Linked DNA regions of Macaca mulatta. The protein of the gene in region 5 binds, or shares a complex with, the protein of the main gene of each other region. Links are inferred from orthologs where the notes say so. Each region holds a gene or a part of one and is shown on either strand. Other genes may lie near its edges. The genes, in order: NRIP1, MED1, CREBBP, NFKBIB and PPARG.

The links.
Region 1: the proteins of PPARG (region 5) and NRIP1 are in contact, whole or in part, in a crystal structure (PDB 9CWN), measured with the Homo sapiens proteins. The link is inferred for Macaca mulatta from reciprocal best matches to the Homo sapiens genes PPARG and NRIP1. Residues at the interface, in NP_056953.2 of Homo sapiens: Val321, Gln322, Thr325, Lys329, Phe334, Leu339, Gln342, Val343, Leu346, Lys347, Pro495, Leu496, Glu499, Ile500, Lys502; in NP_001426204.1 of Homo sapiens: Ser130, Thr131, Leu132, Leu133, Ala134, Leu136, Leu137, Ser139.
Region 2: the proteins of PPARG (region 5) and MED1 are in contact, whole or in part, in a crystal structure (PDB 6ONJ), measured with the Homo sapiens proteins. The link is inferred for Macaca mulatta from reciprocal best matches to the Homo sapiens genes PPARG and MED1. Residues at the interface, in NP_056953.2 of Homo sapiens: Val321, Gln322, Thr325, Glu326, Lys329, Phe334, Leu339, Asn340, Asp341, Gln342, Val343, Thr344, Leu346, Lys347, Gly427, Leu429, His494, Pro495, Leu496, Glu499, Ile500, Lys502; in NP_004765.2 of Homo sapiens: Asn638, Thr639, Asn641, His642, Pro643, Met644, Leu645, Met646, Leu648, Leu649, Lys650, Asp651.
Region 3: the proteins of PPARG (region 5) and CREBBP are in contact, whole or in part, in a crystal structure (PDB 7RLE), measured with the Homo sapiens proteins. The link is inferred for Macaca mulatta from reciprocal best matches to the Homo sapiens genes PPARG and CREBBP. Residues at the interface, in NP_056953.2 of Homo sapiens: Val321, Gln322, Thr325, Glu326, Lys329, Phe334, Val335, Leu339, Asn340, Gln342, Val343, Thr344, Leu346, Lys347, Leu496, Glu499, Ile500, Lys502; in NP_004371.2 of Homo sapiens: Asp62, Ala63, Ala64, Lys66, His67, Lys68, Gln69, Leu70, Ser71, Leu73, Leu74, Arg75.
Region 4: the proteins of PPARG (region 5) and NFKBIB are in contact, whole or in part, in a crystal structure (PDB 9CK0), measured with the Homo sapiens proteins. The link is inferred for Macaca mulatta from reciprocal best matches to the Homo sapiens genes PPARG and NFKBIB. Residues at the interface, in NP_056953.2 of Homo sapiens: Gln322, Thr325, Lys329, Phe334, Leu339, Gln342, Val343, Leu346, Lys347, Leu496, Glu499, Ile500; in NP_002494.2 of Homo sapiens: Asn286, Pro287, Ile288, Leu289, Ala290, Leu292, Leu293, Arg294, Ala295.

What each region holds. Positions count from the first base shown.
Region 1 is NC_133408.1:32,765,210-32,768,725, reverse strand, and holds part of NRIP1 (nuclear receptor-interacting protein 1), read right to left. Parts: coding exon 179-3,516; 3' UTR 1-178. UniProt on the Homo sapiens protein: Modulates transcriptional activation by steroid receptors such as NR3C1, NR3C2 and ESR1. Also modulates transcriptional repression by nuclear hormone receptors.
Region 2 is NC_133421.1:63,743,827-63,746,364, forward strand, and holds part of MED1 (mediator of RNA polymerase II transcription subunit 1), read right to left. Parts: coding exon 1-2,538. UniProt on the Homo sapiens protein: Component of the Mediator complex, a coactivator involved in the regulated transcription of nearly all RNA polymerase II-dependent genes.
Region 3 is NC_133425.1:4,988,585-4,992,100, reverse strand, and holds part of CREBBP (CREB-binding protein), read left to right. Parts: intron 1-189; coding exon 190-379; intron 380-3,516. UniProt on the Homo sapiens protein: Acetylates histones, giving a specific tag for transcriptional activation. Mediates acetylation of histone H3 at 'Lys-18' and 'Lys-27' (H3K18ac and H3K27ac, respectively).
Region 4 is NC_133424.1:49,994,382-49,998,492, reverse strand, and holds the start of NFKBIB (NF-kappa-B inhibitor beta), read right to left. Parts: upstream 2,803-4,111; 5' UTR 2,754-2,802; coding exon 2,575-2,753; intron 1-2,574. Other genes in the region: SIRT2 (NAD-dependent protein deacetylase sirtuin-2), read left to right, coding at 3,265-3,280. UniProt on the Homo sapiens protein: Inhibits NF-kappa-B by complexing with and trapping it in the cytoplasm.
Region 5 is NC_133407.1:151,165,102-151,169,302, reverse strand, and holds the start of PPARG (peroxisome proliferator-activated receptor gamma), read right to left. Parts: upstream 2,813-4,201; 5' UTR 2,789-2,812; coding exon 2,707-2,788; intron 1-2,706. UniProt on the Homo sapiens protein: Nuclear receptor that binds peroxisome proliferators such as hypolipidemic drugs and fatty acids.

The DNA.
Region 1 (3,516 bases), on a different chromosome or scaffold from region 5:
CTAATGTTAAGCAAAAATTAGTATGCATATTTAAACATCACCAGTAACCAATACTTTTCAAAATGAAAAAAGTTTCAATTATACCATGCTTTTCTCAAATCATGCTCTTATTTATACAGATCTCAAGTTCATACTCATTATGTTTTAAAAAGATCCCAAACTGGATGGCAGGTACATTTTATTCTGATTCTTTTTTTATTGTTAGCACGTTTCCCAGAAGTCCATAAACTTCTCCGTTTGCACTGTGTGGGCGAGAAGCATTATTTCCCATATGGCTATTGTAAGGGCTTCTTAAGTTAAAGAAAGCAGCTCTCGTTTCTGCAGTAGGAAGTAACTCTTCTTTGATTGTGACCTGTGAGACACTTTCAGCAGATGAAGGCTCCCTCCAAATGTCCTTGTCTTGTGTTTCTCGACTGGTAACAGAATTGCCTCCTTTCTGCAGCATATAATACAGTATGGGGTTGGTTTTGGTCAGTCTCGGAGAGTCTTTTTCGTATTCATTCTTCTCCACATCAGTGATAACCCACTTAATGGGTCCTTTCTCACTGGGCATGGAACACCCATTCAAAAGCCCAGATTCTGGTCTAGACCCTGCACAGCCCAAGTGCTCAGGGAAAGTAGGACTCACAGGAGTTTTTACTACTCCTGGGTATGAAAATGTCCTGTTATCCATGCAACTGCTGGGCTGAGTGGGGCTGTACATCAGTCCATTTAAAGAAGAAATGCTAAATTCAGGTTTGCTGTTGGTCACATTATTTTTGTGTCCTTTCTTTTTACTGTCAGCAACAGAGTTACTTCTGTGCGGGGACAAATCTCGCACACAGTTTTCTGAGAGAAGCAGCTGTTTCAGAACATTGAAGCTTTTGCTCTCTCTGGCCCAACTCCTGTGTTCACTTTCGCTGGCTGAGCCATGACCAGCAGGATATTTAAACTCAAGATCATTTCTGCTAAATTTCAGCTCTTCCTGGTTAAGCAAGGACCCATACAGTACTTCTGGGGCACTGTGATTGTTCGCAGCATCGACAACGTTGTTTTTCATCTTTTTAAATGGATTTTCTAATGGCTCAGTATAAAGCTTCCTTTTCTTAGGGACCATGCACAGATTCTTTGATTCTAGAAGTGCCATTTCATTACTTCTGTGACTCTTGTCTGAATCATCTGCCAGGTAACTATCTGGATTTTGTCTTAGCAATCGACTTAAGAGACCATTCTTTGAGAAAGAAAAATCCTGAGGTGAAACAGGCTCCGATTTAAAGTCTTCGGACACTGGTAAGGCAGGTGCGCTTCTCTGCACAGCAGGAGCCATACCCAAGAATGGAGCACTCTTGGCATCATGGCTCAAGTGCACATTTGTATTAGGAATTTGTAAGTCATCACAAGGCTCAGATTTTATTTTCACCATCAATATTTGTTCACTTAAAGCTCTCTCTGAGTGTTCCTGAGTACTTTCATCTCTTAAGGGAGTTTTCTCTTTCTTTTCATTTTTGCCTTTGTTGGGGTTTCCCAGGAGCAACTGGAGGACGGTACGTCTTTCAAGCAGATTTTCTATTTCAGAACCGGAAAGCCCCGGTTCAGGACCTGTTGGTTGACTACTAAATGCTTGACTTTCTTCAGCTGCATTCGTTTTATTTGAGAGCAAAGGGCTATTTAATCTATCAATCACACCTATCGGTTTATCTGTGTTTACAGTTAACAGCTGTTTGCTGGGTCTCTGCTCTTCCACTGACATGGAAGACTGCAGGCCACATTGTGCTAAATTTTGTAACAGCTTACTGGCACTGAAAGTTGCAGAGTTTTGTGCACCTTCGTTTTGGGCTGGTTTCTCTCCTGGCGTGTCTTTGCTTTTTGTAAGGTCCATTGAGTGGTTAGATGCAGTCTTTTCAGACTGAGTACTGCAGGCATACGGTGGGGAATTCCATTTGATGACCAGAGAGTGTTGAGAGAGATTGATGGGAGACTCTGCTTTGGCTGACGTAAGTAATGGTGGAGTGCTCACTGGCGTAGTCCGATTTGTACTGGGGCTTTCTATCACAGAAGTCCTTGCATAATTTTGTGTACTGAACTTGGTCACATCATTGTGTACTCCCTGAGGGCTGGTGTTTTTTTCTACATTTTCTTCATTCTTATGGCCAAGTAGCAATTGAAGAAGTGTTACTTTCTGGTGTGAGTTTAGCTTAGAATTCTTTGAGGTATCTTGATCTTCTTTGATATCTACGTCTGGGACTTTTGGATCCCAAGTGTTTAGCAAGGATTGAGTAAAGTTATCCAGGGAAACAGGCTGGTCAGATTCGGATTTTTCAGTTCGGTGTTTGCAAGACAAGTCTATGGGAACACAGCTGGAGTAAGAACTTTCATCACCACTGCTGTCATCTGTAAAACTAGGATTGTTATCTGAATATTCATCAATAGTTGTAGGTGTACTACTTTCCTCAAAAATGCTTCCTCTCTCACTGTGACTGTGTCCATTCATTGGCTTAGGTATAGTCTGGCTTTTAAGAAGATGTAAAAGCAAACTATTGTTAGCAGCTTGTTTGATATTGTTTCTTTCCAGTGAGTTCTTATAACCTGCATTTTTAGGGGAAGAAGGAATGATACCCATTGGATTTTGAAACGTTGTAGCACTACTTTTGCTAGCCATCAGTTTGCTTGATGATGTTCTAGCCTGACCATTAAGATGGCTTGACATGGCTTTGGAGAGCTGGAAACTGCCAACATCCTTCTGGCCATTTTCTTGCAATCTGGCCATAGCAGCAAGTCTTTCACTTGCTGCTTGATTTGCATTTTGTGTTTTTAAAGCATGTTCTCGAGAATACTGCTGCAAATGGGCTTCGCTTGACAGAAGTAATGCTAACTGGCTACAAGCAACACTAGGTTTAGGTGAGGTGGCAGGACTAGCCCTTTTTTCTACCATGCTTGCAACAGCCTGTAATCTTGCAGCACATGACAACGGTTCACTCATGACCTTTGTTCCACTTTGTCCAACGTGATGAGGAGATTCTACAAACCTATCTCTGATGAGGTTTTTAGTCACATCAGGAAGATTTGTATCAGGCTTTTGATCTTTAACTTTACTTTTCTTCAACAAAGTTTTTAAGTGACTTGATGCAACACCATAGCACCTTAAATCCTTCTCCACTTTTAAAGAATCATGACTGAGGGCATATCCTTGCTCCTTGAGGCTCTGCCTAATTTGTTGTGACAGAGCAACAGTCTGCAGCCTAGAGCTGAATGACTGAAGCAAAGAGGCCAGTAATGTGCTATCCTGTTTGCCTTTAGGCACACTGTCAACCATGCCAGCTAGCAAAGCTTCCTTCTTTACGTTTAAATTTACGATAGAATCAGACAGCCTCTTCCGCTTTGCTGCATTCCAGTCCTCAGAAGACTGCAACAGTCTGGCTTTTTTGAGGTGCAGCATGCCAGATCCCTGATATGTATGTGTATTGAAAACTGGACCATTACTTTGACAGGTGGGAAATGCACTGCCAGAAATGTTAAAGTTCTGATCCTCTTCATTAT
Region 2 (2,538 bases), on a different chromosome or scaffold from region 5:
GGGCCACATCCATAAGATCATCATCTTCCTCCCCAATCATAAAGTCTGGGCTGAGCCTTGAGGGTCTATCTGCAGATAAGATTGTGTTACTTGTCATAGACAAGGACTGGTCTGAAGAGATGGGTGATTTGGACCAACTCTCTGGCTTGATGCTATGAGATTTTTTCTTGTCTCGGTCTTTGTCCCGGTCTCGGTCCCTATCTTTGTCTTTTACTTTCTTCTTTTCCTTTTTGTGCTTCTTATGTTTCTCTGTGCTGTATTCAGGAAGTGGTCGGATACCATCATCTGAGCTGGGACTATTCTGATAAGATTTCTCTGCTATGGAGGAGCCTGACTCACTTTCACTGTCCAGATTCTGGGGGGTATATGCTGGTGACTTACTATGGCTAGGAGAGCCACGCTCATGCTTTGGAGTGGAACCACTGATGAGTGGAGAGCCATAGTTTTTAGAAGAAGCCATCTGAGGCCTAAGCCCTTCTCCACTACTTTCCCCAGGTTTCTGCAAAGTCACTTTGGCTTTAATGCTGGGGGAGCCTCCATCATGCTTACTGATGATAATTTTTGCCACACCTGTGCTCCCCACATTTTTTGACTCTGAGGTCTTCTTAGAAGAATCCACTGAACTCCCAGAGGTGGAAACCTTTGATTTGTCTTTATCACTTTTCTCACGCTTGCCCTGAAACTCTCCTCCTGACATGTTATGTTTAGAGGACATAGGATGGCTGGAAGAATTTGTGCTCACCCCCATCTGGCCGTCCAGTGGGTCTTCACCCCCAGGGCCACTGGTGACAACCCCATGCTTCAGTTTATCTATGACAGCTGTCAAGGACGGCTTCTTATTTCTGCTGGGAGATTTTCCTTTGGAACTCCCATGCTGGTTTTGAGAGGATGACATGGAAGAGCCACTTGAGGAAAAGGAGGAGGAAGATGCTGTACAAGAATTAGATGATGGGGGAGTTTTCTGGGACAACGAGCCTGAGGATCCTAACCCTGAAGATGACTTCATGCCAGAGCTTGAACTAGTTCCAGACATATGAGAACCACCAGAACCTGAACTGATAGGGGACTTGGCTTTAGAGGATGGAGGAGTTCCAGGAACAGGCTTCATTGGAGAGGCAAGCTTGTCAGAGCCTCCAGGTGGCCTTGAATGAGAAGGGGATATGTTTGGTTTACTTAAAGAAGGATTCATAAGTGATGATGGCTTTCCTTGAGGTTTCATCTTGGTGCTGCTAGAGCCACTGCTCAGTCCATGCTTGGTAATGGGAGAGGAGCCTGGCTTCCCCCCAGACTGGGATGAATTTTTGGACTGGCTAGATCCAGAAGACCCCTGGCTAGCATACATACTGCTGCTTAACTTGGAACTTGATGAGCCTTCTGATTTACTGCTTTTCATCTTCCCTGAGGTGGAAGCAGAAGATGAGGAAGAAGAGGAAGAATGGCTATGGTGGCTTTTGCTGCCTGAGGAAGACACAGAACCACTGCTGGTATACTGACTGTGAGAGGAAGGCTTGCCCACCATCACTGTTCCCTTAGGAATCTGAATAGTGATTTTGGGAATGGGTGGTGTGGCAACACCTGGGGGAGTCTGAGATCTTCCTGAACTGCCTGGAGATTTAGATCCACCTGTACTGGTAGGTGGGGTAAAAGGTCGGTTAGAAGAACTATGAGATGGAGACTTTCCCTCAGTGTCTGCTTTCTTCCTCTTTGGAGGCTTATCTTTGCTTTTCCCATCATTAGAAGGGGTCCGACTGCGTTTCCCTGGTTTGCTGTCTAATCCTGGCCCCGCGAGAGTACTATTACTGGTGCCATTGCCTTCCTTTACCCTCTTTTGAGTCTTTTCTTTCCCTAAGTCCCCAGTGGTCATTAAAGGTCCCTGACTACCACTGTGATGCTCCATAAGATCTGCAGGACCTAAAGCTTTGCCGGCTACTGATATAATACTGAAATCAACTGTGTCAGCTTGGTTATTGGCCTTAAACTTGGTCTCCCCATTATCACCTCCAAGCATTGGCACCCCCAAAGTATTTAGTGCCTGAGATGCAAATCCTTTGAAATCATCATTATCCCCACTTTGGCTGCTTTCATCAAAATATTCTTCTCCAAAACCACTTTGGCTCTGGCTGTTCAATAAATCAGGATTGAAATCTACTCCATCATGAAAAAAATGATTGGTAGGAGAGTCACTACTGGGGCTTCCAGCAGCATCTGCAATAAGATCAGCTGGATCAGTGTATGGATTTTCATTATTGTTAGTTTGAAAGACATCAGAGTCAAAGAGGGTACTCTGAGAATGCCCAGAGCTTGAAGAATCTCGAAGAGGGGTGCCAATAGCTGGGCAATCATCACTAGTGCTGGGAAGTTTAGAAGCTTCTTCTGCAATGTCTGAAAGGATGTCAGTTACATCTGGGCCAATGCTGTCTGAACTGGATAGTCGGACCATCCTTTGAATACTGGGTTGGGGGTGAGGTACTGGTTGTGGGTAAGTTGTTGGGGGAGTGCTACACTGGCTTGGAGCTGGAGTGATGTGTGGTGTATCCA
Region 3 (3,516 bases), on a different chromosome or scaffold from region 5:
ATTGAAGTGACTTAATGAACACCAAGTACTTTATTTCTTCTTCTGAAAGAGAAGAGGAATCACAAATGCAACTCTGACTAGAGGAAGGTTTTAACAAACCCATCTTAGGCTTGTAAGAGCCTTCCAGTGAGGCTGAGGTAACATAAAGGTGTTTAATATTTGTGTGTTATCTATAATGTTTTTCTCAAGATGATGGAGGAGGATTTGCAAGGAGCTTCCCAAGTTAAAGAAGAAACAGACACAGCAGAGCAGAAATCAGAACCAATGGAAGTGGATGAAAAGAAACCTGAAGTGAAAGTAGAAGTTAAAGAGGAAGAAGAGAGTAGCACTAACGGCACAGCCTCTCAGTCAACATCTCCTTCGCAGCCACGCAAAAAAAGTAGGCTGTTTATTCATTACCTTATTAAACCATGCTGCTTTTCCACGGTGTTGGGATTCCACGTGGAGGATTAGAAGCTAAAGTAGAAACGTAATTCTATCTGCCCTTTTACCTTTCTTGCCTGCCATTCCACAGACTTTCCCTTGCAGAAACACTGAGGCTGAGCAGGACCCCAGCCCTGTGCCTGTGGGGCTCATGGTAGGAGTGAGAGATGAGCTATGACTCTGAGGCCACCCTGGCTGCAGAGCTGTCTTCTGAGATGATGCTGGCAGGGGCCAGGGTTGAAATGTGTCTGGGTCCTTGAGCAGGCTAAGGAGCTTGGCTTTACTCATAAAAGTGTAAAGAACCAGTGATGTATGTGAGTGGGAAAATAACCAAAAAAGCCATAATTTAAGGAAAATGATCATTATGACAGCACAGGGGTGAGCTGGAGGCAGTTTTCTGCTGGTGCAGTGAGGAAGCTGAGCATGCAGAGTGAGGGGCAGGGTGGTGCCTAGGGACCCCATGTAGGGAGACATGGGGAGGGGTAGGTTAGGCAGCTTTGGGGTCTGAGATGTGTGGGATAAGCCCGCCTCACAGTGGAAGTTGGATGGAATCCATTTGAGATGTATCCAAAGTAAAGAGATAACAGGGTATCAGAAAATTGTCAAGTGAACCTTAGAAATGGGAGTTGGGACTCAGAAAGTCCAAGGCTGCAGATGACACTTTTGGGAAAGATTGCAGAGAAATGTTAGAGACTGAGACCATGTTACTCTGCAGCTGGAAGGGGACCCTCGAGAGTGTGGAGTACAGTGAATCTTAGGGCTTTTTATGCTCTTAGAAATTGAGGGCCCCAGAGAGTTGTTGTTTGTGTGGATTACCTATCATTGCTTACTCTATTGGAAATTAAAATTGAGAAATTTGAGTACAGGGCTCACACCTGTAATCCCAGCACTTTGGGAGGCCTTGATGAGAGGTTTGCTTATGCCGGGATTTCAAAACCAGCCTGAGCAACATAGCAAGACTCCATCTCTACAAAACTAAAATAAAATTAGCTAAGTGTGGTGGTGCACGCTACAGCGGAAGCAGCAGGATCGCCTGAGCCTATAAGTTTGAGGCTACAGTGAGCCCAGATCACATCACTGCACTCTAGCCTAGGAGACAAAGTAAGATTGTTGTCTCAAAAAAAAGAGAAAAATTTTTAAATATTTAGTTCATTTAAAATAGTCTGTTGGCCGGGCGCGGTGGCTCAAGCCTGTAATCCCAGCACTTTGGGAGGCCGAGACGGGCGGATCACGAGTTCAGGAGATCGAGACCATCCTGGCTAACACGGTGAAACCCCGTCTCTACTAAAATACAAAAAAAAAAAAAATTAGCCGGGCGAGGTGGCGGGCGCCTGTACTCCCAGCTACTCGGGAGGCTGAGGCAGGAGAATGGCGTGAACCCGGGAGGCGGGGCTTGCAGTGAGCTGAGATCCGGCCACTGCACTCCAGCCTGGGCAACAGAGCTAGACTCCGTCTCAAAAAAAATAAATAAATAAAATAAAATAAAATAGTCTGTTACATGGCACCCATAGAAAACATTTATATGAAAAATAATTTTTCCAAAACAAAAATAAGAATAATGATGTTATTAAGGGCATCTGCCTCTGCATTTACTGTGTTGTGATTGGTTATTTTGGTTGAAGTGTGTGAAGAAAATCCTGTAGTTGGTAAAGGGAGAAGTATTTTCATAGCCTTTTCAGCTGATTGTGGTTAGTCTTTGATACTATACCAAAATTAAACCAGTGAAAGTTTCTTAAAGGTTAGTTACGACATTGAACCAGAATCTGTAGCACTGGATATTTCATACTCTATGACATTAGAATCCATTGATCCATCTTGTACTTGGAATGGATGGTTTGTGCTTGCATTATTTTTTTTTCAATTGACACTAAGTTCTGCAGATTTTCCATATGTTAACATATTTCACTATACCGTGTCAAAAAAAAATCACATTTGTTAATACCACCATCAGTCTCTTCAAACAAGTCTTAACAACTTTGAAAAGCAGGGCGTGCGTGGTGGCTCACGCCTGTAATCTCAGCATTTTGGGAGGCTGAGGGGGAAAGTTTGCTTGAGCCCAGGAATTCAGGGTCTATGATTGTACCACTGCACTCTAGCCTAGAGCTCAGGAGTTCAAGACCAGCCTAGGCAACATGGCGAAACCTAATCTCTATTAAAAAAAAAAAAAAAAAAAGCTGGGCATGGGTAGTGCATGCCTGTAGCTGCAGCTACTCAAGATGTTGAAGTGGGAGAATCACCTGAGCCTGGGAGGTCAAGGATGCAGTGAGCCATGATCATGCCGCTGTACTCCAGCCTGGGTGACAGAGTGAGGCCCTGTCTCAAAAAGTAATAGTAATAATAAATTTTGAGACGATTTCAAGCCCGTGTACAAGTTTTCCAAAACATTTGATTTTTTAATGAAAGTCCAGATTTTATCATTGGCAACAAATATTGTCAGTTGTCCTTGAAGTAACTGTCCCTCTTTGTTCATTTCTGAGAAAATGTCTGACATATAACTAGAGTTAGTAACTATAGCTTATCTCTCAGTCATTCTTGAAAGTTTTAAGGGGTCCATGAGGGCAAGCAGCTACTTCAGCTGTAAATTCTGACACGTGCACAAGTACTGCCTCCTAATGTGGCCACTGTGCATATGCAGCACACATCTTTTATTCTGTGTGATGAGATACACTGAATATTTCATCACACAGACTAAAAGACATGTACCAGGAGGCCAGGCGCAGTGGCTCAAGCCTGTAATCCCAGCATTTTGGGAGGCCGAGGCGGGCAGATCACGAGGTCAGGAGATCAAGACCATCCTGGCTAACACGGTAAAACCCCGTCTCTACTAAACAAAATATAAAAAATTAGCCAGGCATGGTGGCGGGCACTTGTAGTCCCAGCTACTCGGGAGACTGAAGCAGGAGAATGGCATGAACCCGGGAGGCAGAGCTTGCGGTGAGCCGAGATCGCGCCACTGCAGTCCAGCCTGGGCGACAGAGTGAGACTCCGTCTCAAAAAAAAAAAAAAAAAGATGTACCAAAGGCTGAGCTTTAATACAAGGAATACTTCTTACCACCTCGTCAAGAATATTTTTTCGGCCAGGTGTGGTAGCTC
Region 4 (4,111 bases), on a different chromosome or scaffold from region 5:
ATATTTTTAGGCCGGGTGTGGTGGCTCACACCTGTAATCCCACCACGTTGGGAGGCCGAGGTGGGTGGATCACTTTAAGTCAGGAGTTCCAGACCAGCCTGGCCAACATGGTGAAATCCCATCTCTGCTAAAAGCACAAAAATTAGCCGGATGTGGTGGTGCATGCCTGTAATCCCTGCTACGCGGAAGGCTGAAACATGAGAATTGCTTGAACCTGGGAGGCAGAGGTTGCAGCAAGCTGAGATCATTCCACTGTACTACAGCTTTGGTGACAGAGCAAGACTCCAGTCTCAAAAAAAAAAGAAAAAGAAAAAAAATACTGAATTAGGCCGGGTGTGGTGGCTCATGCCTGTAATCCCAGCACTTTGGGAGGCCAAGGTGGGCAGATCATTTGAGGTAAGGAGTTTGAGACCAGCCTGGCCAACATGGTGAAACCCTGTCTCTACCAAAAAAATTACAAAACTTATCCGGGGGTGGTGGCACCCCCCTGTAATCCCAACTACTCGGGAGGCTGAGGCAAGAGAATCACTTGAACCCAGGAGGACAAGGTTGCAGTGAACGGAAACTGTGCCACTGCACTCCAGCCTGGGGAACAGAGTGGACTCCAACTCAAAAAAATAATAAAGCATACTGAATTAAATGAAAATAAAAACACAACATACCAGAATTTGAGAGATATTGCTAAAACAATATTGCTAAACAATAGTCAGGAGCAAATTTATAGCACTCAATACCTATACTGGAAAAGAGGAAAAAAGAAAGGTCTCAAATCAATGATCTCAACTTTCACCTTAAGAAACTACAAAAAGAAGAACAAATTAAAGCCAAAGTAAGCAGAAGAATGAACATAATAAAAGTCAGAACAGCCTGGCATGGTGGCTCATGCCTGCAATCCCAGCACTTTGGGAGGCTGAGGCAGGCAGATCACGGGGTCAGGAGTTTGAGACCAGCCTGGCCAACATGGTGAAACCCCATCTCTACTAAAAACACAAAAATTAGCCAGGCATGGTGGTGGGCACCTGTAATCCCAGCTACTGGGGAGGTTGAGGCAGGAGAATTGCTTGAACCCAGGAGATGGAGGTTGCAGTGAGTCAACATGGTGCCACTGCACTCCAGCCTGGGCGACAGAGTGAAACTCCATTTCAAAAAACAAAACAAAACAAAACAAAAAAACCGGCCGGGCGCGGTGGCTCAAGCCTGTAATCCCAGCACTTTGGGAGGCCGAGATGGCGGATCACGAGGTCAGGAGATCGAAACCATCCTGGCTAACACAGTGAAACCCTGTCTCTACTAAAAAAAAAAAAAACTAGCCAGGCGAGGTGGCGGGCACCTGTAGTCCCAGCTACTCGGGAGGCTGAGGCAGGAGAATGGCTTAAACCCGGCAGGCGGAGCTTGCAGTGAGCTGAGATCCGGCCACTGCACTCCAGCCTGGGCGACAGAGCGAGACTCTGTCTCAAAAAAAAAGCCAGGACAGAGACTAATTATATAAAAAGTAAAAAAAAAAAAAAAAAAAAAAGAAACCAAAATTAAGTAATGAAATGTAATGAAAATTAACAAGATTATAAAGCTGGTTCTTTGAAAAGATAAATATTTCTTCAGTGCCTCCTGGGTCAGGCACTGCTTGCATCACTGGGCATACAGCAGAAAACACAACAGACAAAAAACCCAGTACAGTCCCTCATCTGGGCTTTGCAACTGCAGTTCCTTCTCCCTGAAATGCTCTTATCCTGTTTATCTATTGCCTCATTTTCCTGCTTTATTTTTCTCCAAAGTACTTACTACCTCTGACTTTATTTCCTTCTCTTACTTTCTATGTTTCTTTCTTTCTGCGTGTCTTTCTTTGTTTCTTCCTGTCTTTCTGTTTCTTTCCTTCCTTGCGGTCTTATCTGTTTATTTAGTTCCACTAAAATGTATGCTCCACAAGCGCTTAAGTTTTTGTCTGTTTTCTCCACTGCCTTTATCACTAGCACCTAAAACGGAGCCTGGAATGTTGTACTGTGTAAAGAATATTTGTTTAACAGATGGATCCTTGGTCTCGTGGAGCTTACATTCTTTTTTTCTATTTTCCTTTTTTTTTTTTTTTTACTTTAATTAGGAATTCAACATAGAAGAGCTTACATTCTCTCTCTTTGAATTTAAGATTTGAAGAACACTGCTCAGATGACAGGATCTTAGAGTAAGGGACCAAGCATTAATTTTGGAAATCAAACTTTAAGGCTCAAATCAGGAACTAAGAATCAAAGATCATATTTGGAGGTTAGAAGTCAGGAGAAGCCACAGTTCTAACAAAAGTCTCAGGACTGGAGTCAGGTTTGGGTATCAGTGGATACAACGTGGATTCCAGGAGCTGAGAATCATAGTTCAGGAAAAGGTCAGAAATGATTGGGTGAGGATCATAGCTGGAAAGAAGATTGGTTTTGTTAAAAGTTAGGACTCGGGGGTTAGAGGTCAGGAAGTTCAGCATCGGAAGTCAGATTTAGGAGTGTGAGGTTAGGAAGCCTCAGGGATCAGACACTAATGGGGAATCAGATGCCGGGTCCTAAGGCTCCGTTTGGCAGCCTAAAGTTCACTCACGTGTCCCCATCCTCAGTGACGTAGCCGAAGACGAGGGGAGCCCACGACAGCCCCGGGCCCAGCTCCGCGCCCAATCCCGGTCCTCCGGGGGCCGCTGCGTCCGGACCCAGGGAGCCGAGGCCGCTGTCGCACCATTCATCTGCGTCGGCAGCTTTTCCCAAGCACGCGACCCCAGCCATGGCCCCCGCCACCTCAGGGGCCCCTCGCAGTGGCCCGCCTGTAGCTGGGCTTTGCCGGGAGTTCTGGCGCTTCCGCCCTGCGGGAAATTCCCCACCACGCCCCCTGATTCATCCAATGATAATATGCTGAATCGCTCACACCCCGCCCCCGTGCCGCATGCTGACCAATCAGAGTATTCGAGAGGACTACGACTCTCTAGCCGTTCCCACATTTTCCGGGCGCCCTTTACCAACATGGCTGCTGACGCCATGACTTCTGGGACTCGTAGTCCGGTCCTCGCGCGCTTTCTTACCTAACTGGGGCGCTCCGGGTGTCGTAGGAAAGCGCGTCTGCGGCCGCAATGTCTGCTGGGAGTTGTAGTTCAGTGCCCTATCCCGGCCACTCCCATTTCTGGTGCCGTCACGGGACAGAGCAGTCGGTGACAGGACAGAGCCGTCGGTGACGGGACACAGTGGTCGGTGACGGGACAGAGCGGTCGGTGACAGCCTCGAGGGCTTCAGCACCGCGCCCATGGCAGAGCCGGACCGTGAGTCGGGAATCCGGGTGGGAGGGTCGGGCCGCGCCGGGGCCTGATTGAAGGCTGCAGGCCCCGGGGCCCAAGGGCGGCCGCAGTGGGGCGGGAAGTAGGGAGCGCCTCGGGGAGTGGGGTTCTGAGGGTTGTTGCTAAGCGATCTATATCGCCAGGCTGGTGGGTTTCTGGGTCGCAGGGTGTTCAGGGTTCGTTTACCACATCCACTTGCCAAGTTGCCAATGATCGCGTGTTTCTCACACCTTGGTTGCTAAGGACCCTCGCTGCAAAGAACATAAGTTGCCCCGGTCCCGGCTGCTAAGGGTACCTGATTGTTAGAGGCAACCAGAGGATGCTGAGGGACCCCTGCTGTCCCCTTCTATGGCTTCCCCTTGTTCCGCGCCTCTCCTAAACCTACCGCCTCCACTGCACCACTGCACCTCCCTCCTAAACCTGCCTCCCAGCCAAAGCGTCCCTTCCCTTCTCTCTTCCTTTCTAAACTTCCCTCTGCCTTGTAAATCTAACCCTTCCCGCACACACACTGACACACTGTCGTGTCCTTCCTAACTCCTCCTGAGTGTTCCTTCATGCCCTGAATCCCTTAGGTAGGAGGAGGAGGATCGCTTGAGCCCAGGAGTTTGAGGCTGCAGTGAGCTATGATCGCACCATTGCACTCCAGCCTGGGTGACATGAGCGAGACCCTTTCTCTAAAAAGTAAAAAAGAAAGAAAGTAAGTCAGGGCCAGACACAATGGCTCATGCTTGTAACCCCAGTACTTTGAGAGGCCAAGGTGGTTGGATCGCTTGAGCCCAGGAGTTCAAGATCAGCCTGGGCAAAAGCCCCTACTTT
Region 5 (4,201 bases):
GCAATCAATCACTCACTCCTATCTCAGGAGAGACTCATTTTGACGGATTGTCTATTGCAGCATTTATCATGTCTCTAAGGCATATTTCCATTGCTCAATCAGCTCCAAAGGACAAGTGTGTCATCATCTTTCAAGGCTCTGGTGCAACAACTTAAAATTGTAGAATTCACACAGGACTAAGTCTGGCACTCAAAGCAGGAGGCATATTCAGCTTGAGCTTGTGGAAGCTTCCCTTCAATCTCGCCAATTTTTACTGGTGGAAATGGTTTCAGAGCCAGCATGAGGTTACTTGGGGTTGCTTGAGGAGCTCTTGATAAAAAAAAGAAAGGGGAGCAATATAAAGGGGTTACAGCAACGATGGAGCCTTGGAAAAAGCATGGAAGTCCTCTTTGGGCATAAAGTGTAGTGGATATTTTTAATCTCTCTTTTTTTTTTTTTTTTGAGACGGAGTCTCGCTCTGTCGCCCAGGCTGGAGTGCAGTGGCCGGATCTCGGCTCACTGCAAGCTCCGCCTCCCGGGTTTACGCCATTCTCCTGCCTCAGCCTCCCGAGTAGCTGGGACTACAGGCGCCCGCCACCTCGCCCGGCTAGTTTTTTGTATTTTTTAGTAGAGACGGGGTTTCACCATGTTAGCCAGGATGGTCTCGATCTCCTGACCTCGTGATCTGCCCGTCTCGGCCTCCCAAAGTGCTGGGATTACAGGTTTGAGCCACCGCGCCTGGCCTAATCTCTTGAATATAACCAATATACCTGGATATCTGGGTCATTCACACGAAATGTGCCACTTTTTCTTAATAGCAGTACCCAACTATTTGCAACACTCCCAATTTCACTTTGCCTATGATCAGGAAGAAGCACGTAAGAGGACTACTGTACCCAGGCCAAATACCTCATCTCCCCAGTGTTCAACACTGCTAGCCTCGGCTAATAATGATCATATATCTAATTTATTTGTAAGTCTGTCTGTTTTGGAAGAGGTGGAGCAATTATTTAAAGGTCATTTACAAATTACAGTAGGAGTAACAATCATAGGTCTTTGGCCTTTAGGAACTCACATTTTTAACAGAGAAACAGTGCTTATGAAGAAGGAGTAGCCAGAGACCCTGTAAGAAAAGGGTTAAATTATTGGTACAAAATATCATGTTTTAATTGCTAATAATTTCATTCTGTACCATGTTAATTAGGAAGAAAAGTACTGGATCATTCTTTTAGAGGAAATTGAGACTCAAAAAAATTAAACTCAGGGTAAATTCAAAGCATAAAGTTAGAGATTAGCACAGAATGAAAACTAACTTGAATCACATAACCATCCCTTACCACAAATAGTACTTGCCTCTCAGTTAACCTATTTTGTTGATATTTGTTGTACTGCATTCTAGACATGTTCTTTGAAAATAGACAAAACTATCAAATTTTGACTCAAGAACTATTTCACAGTATAGCCAGGACATTCTGCCCTGAGGCAGGGTAAATTAATAACTGAAGAAAGATAGCAACAATGTTTTTGGCTTGCAGAAAAACAGAATAACAGCACTTTAAGGAAAAAAACAAAACTCCTAGTTAAGAGGCTTAGATGATAGAAATACATGTTGAAACAAATTACTGTAATAAAATAAAACAGTATTTCAGGAAACATTTCTTACTAATTTTTAAAAAGCTTTATATTTTTAAAATGATGACTAATATGTTCAAACTTCAGGCTTCCAGGAAAACGAAAAGGTTAAAATCTATTTCAGCAATTAAGTGACTTAATTTTAATGCTTTAGCACCTATATTATAAAACATGAATCACACTAGTTAACAATCTATTTTTACATAGCATCTGAGAAGAGAAAAATAAAATGAATAGAAATAAAGACATCAATATGAGACAAAACAAAACAGAAAAAGCGGTGCTAAGAAACTCCAGTAGAAGGAGCTGTAGAAATGGAGAAATTACATTTTGCAATGGCCAAGAAAGAAATATTGAAAAGGAGGTATCTGATTCTGACACATCTGAAGAGAAGTAATAGGTAGTCACTTACAATAGGCATTTACTGTTTGAGGAACCTCATTTTCTTTATGCATAAAATATGATGCTTGGAACAGATCTTTTTCAAGGTTCCGACAATCCATTCTGCAATGTATTGGGCACTATGCTAGGAGGCATCCTCAGAAATCTAATAAAGAGCATCACTTGGTCCCATACTCTGGTAAATTACAATTCTTTGGGAGAGCTAAAGTGCCCACACAGTATCTAGATTTCAAAGTAGAACAGAAAAGAACTGAGAGTACTTCAAGAGGAACAAAAGCGCTGCAAGAGGGAAAAAAACCATTATGAGAGATCTCTAACATACAAGATGAAAAGAGGAAAAAGTGACCCTTCAAGTCTAAAAAGCCTTTATGTATTCTTGGGAAATCTATGCAAACTCAGGAAATAAAAATGAACAGGATTGTTTTTGGATATAACTATACCGTTAGTGCTTAAAATTCAGGAAATGGGAGCCATGCACAGAGATAAAATACAGATTAGGTTAGGTTTCCTTTTTTAAGGATCTGAATATGTTTTTAAGTGAATGCGATAGCAGCGAGCTAAGCATTAAAATACTGGAGTGTACACATGATAGTATTAAAACAAACATAACTTGGAAGACAAACTACAAGAGCAATTTTACCCTTACATAAATGCCCCCACGTCCCCAATAGCCATATCTGGAAGGAACTTTACCTTGTGATATGTTTGCAGACAGTGTATCAGTGAAGGAATCGCTTTCTGGGTCAATAGGAGAATCTCCCAGAGTTTCACCCATAACAGCATGGAATAGGGGTTTGCTGTAATTCACACTGATATTTTGTTTATATCTAGCAAAAGATCAATCCGTTAAAAGAAAAAGACTTGAAGTAACAGAATTTGTGAATACACCCATGAGTCAAGACATCAGTTTCCAAATATTTGGGAGAGATGGGAATAAACACAGAAAGGACTGGGCTTGAATTGGCTGGCACTGTCCTGTTAGGAGCCAGCTGTGACAAAAAGTTGTGTCATAATGTTGTTCACTGCTTTGGCAAGACTTGGTACATTACAGGGAAAATATTGCCACACTGTCTCGCCAGTGACCCACATGTTCAGTGTCTTGTGAGGGGCGTGAACTATACTGTATTTAGAATTATCAGAGCAGAGACTGTTCAATATCCACTTGCATTTTTAACTGTCGTAAAATTCACATCAATTCCTTCTTAAATGGAAAACTTCAAATCTCTTGCTTATGAAATACCAGAAAGCTTATTTGGGCAAAGTTTTCTTTCAATGTCTATTCCTGGTTGAATCTCTAATCATGTGATTTGAAGAAAATTTTGGAATTCAAATACATATCCATAGTTTAAACGTTGGTATTAGCATGCTACCGAAATGTTATATTCCTAAGGTACTTGTTCTGCTGATTTGTGAAGCCCAAAATGATATTGACTGCTATCCAAATTCTGTAAAATTAAATAGTTCAGAGAATGAAGAAGGGTTTGATATGGTTTCGATTTAAATATCGGGTTTGCTTTCTTAAAAACTTCAGCTTATCCATCAATAGCAACTACAGCAATGTTACATCAGCTGATGTTTGAACATCAATTGATGTTTAAATGATAAGTGCTATGTCATAATGAAAAAATGGAGTTCTCTGTGAGAAGAGTAACACATCACCAGAAAAAAATAGACTTACGCTGTTAGGTTGGCGAGGAATTGTGGTCGGTTTTGTAATCAGGAAAAAGCTGGCTTCTTGCTCAAGGCCTTTGCCCTTTTTGGCAAGGAGAGACACTAGCTGTGCCAAATTACTGATGTGGGAGCAGGTCTTGTCACATGAGTGGCCTACTAGAATCACAGTGACTTTGCGGACTTTCAAAGATGTCCCCACACAGGGCAGTATATGAGAAGGCAATTAATTCTCTGAATTATATTTATCCTGATATTCCCTGAGTAAAATAAATATATATCTGGTTAATCTACATTGAGTAACTATTCATTCTTCAAGGGGACTAGTAAAAGTGTCCCTGTCAATCATGGTGCAAGAGCTTGATGGGGAAATGCTGGCTGGCTCTGAACAGCACAGAATAAAGTGGGGAGTTGGGCAACTGTGCCATTAAGCCCCAAAACATCTTTATTAAAGCAATCCAAGTTAAAGCAAAACTTGGGTTTGCTAATTTGTCCAAATGACTGCAGTGATTACGGTTGT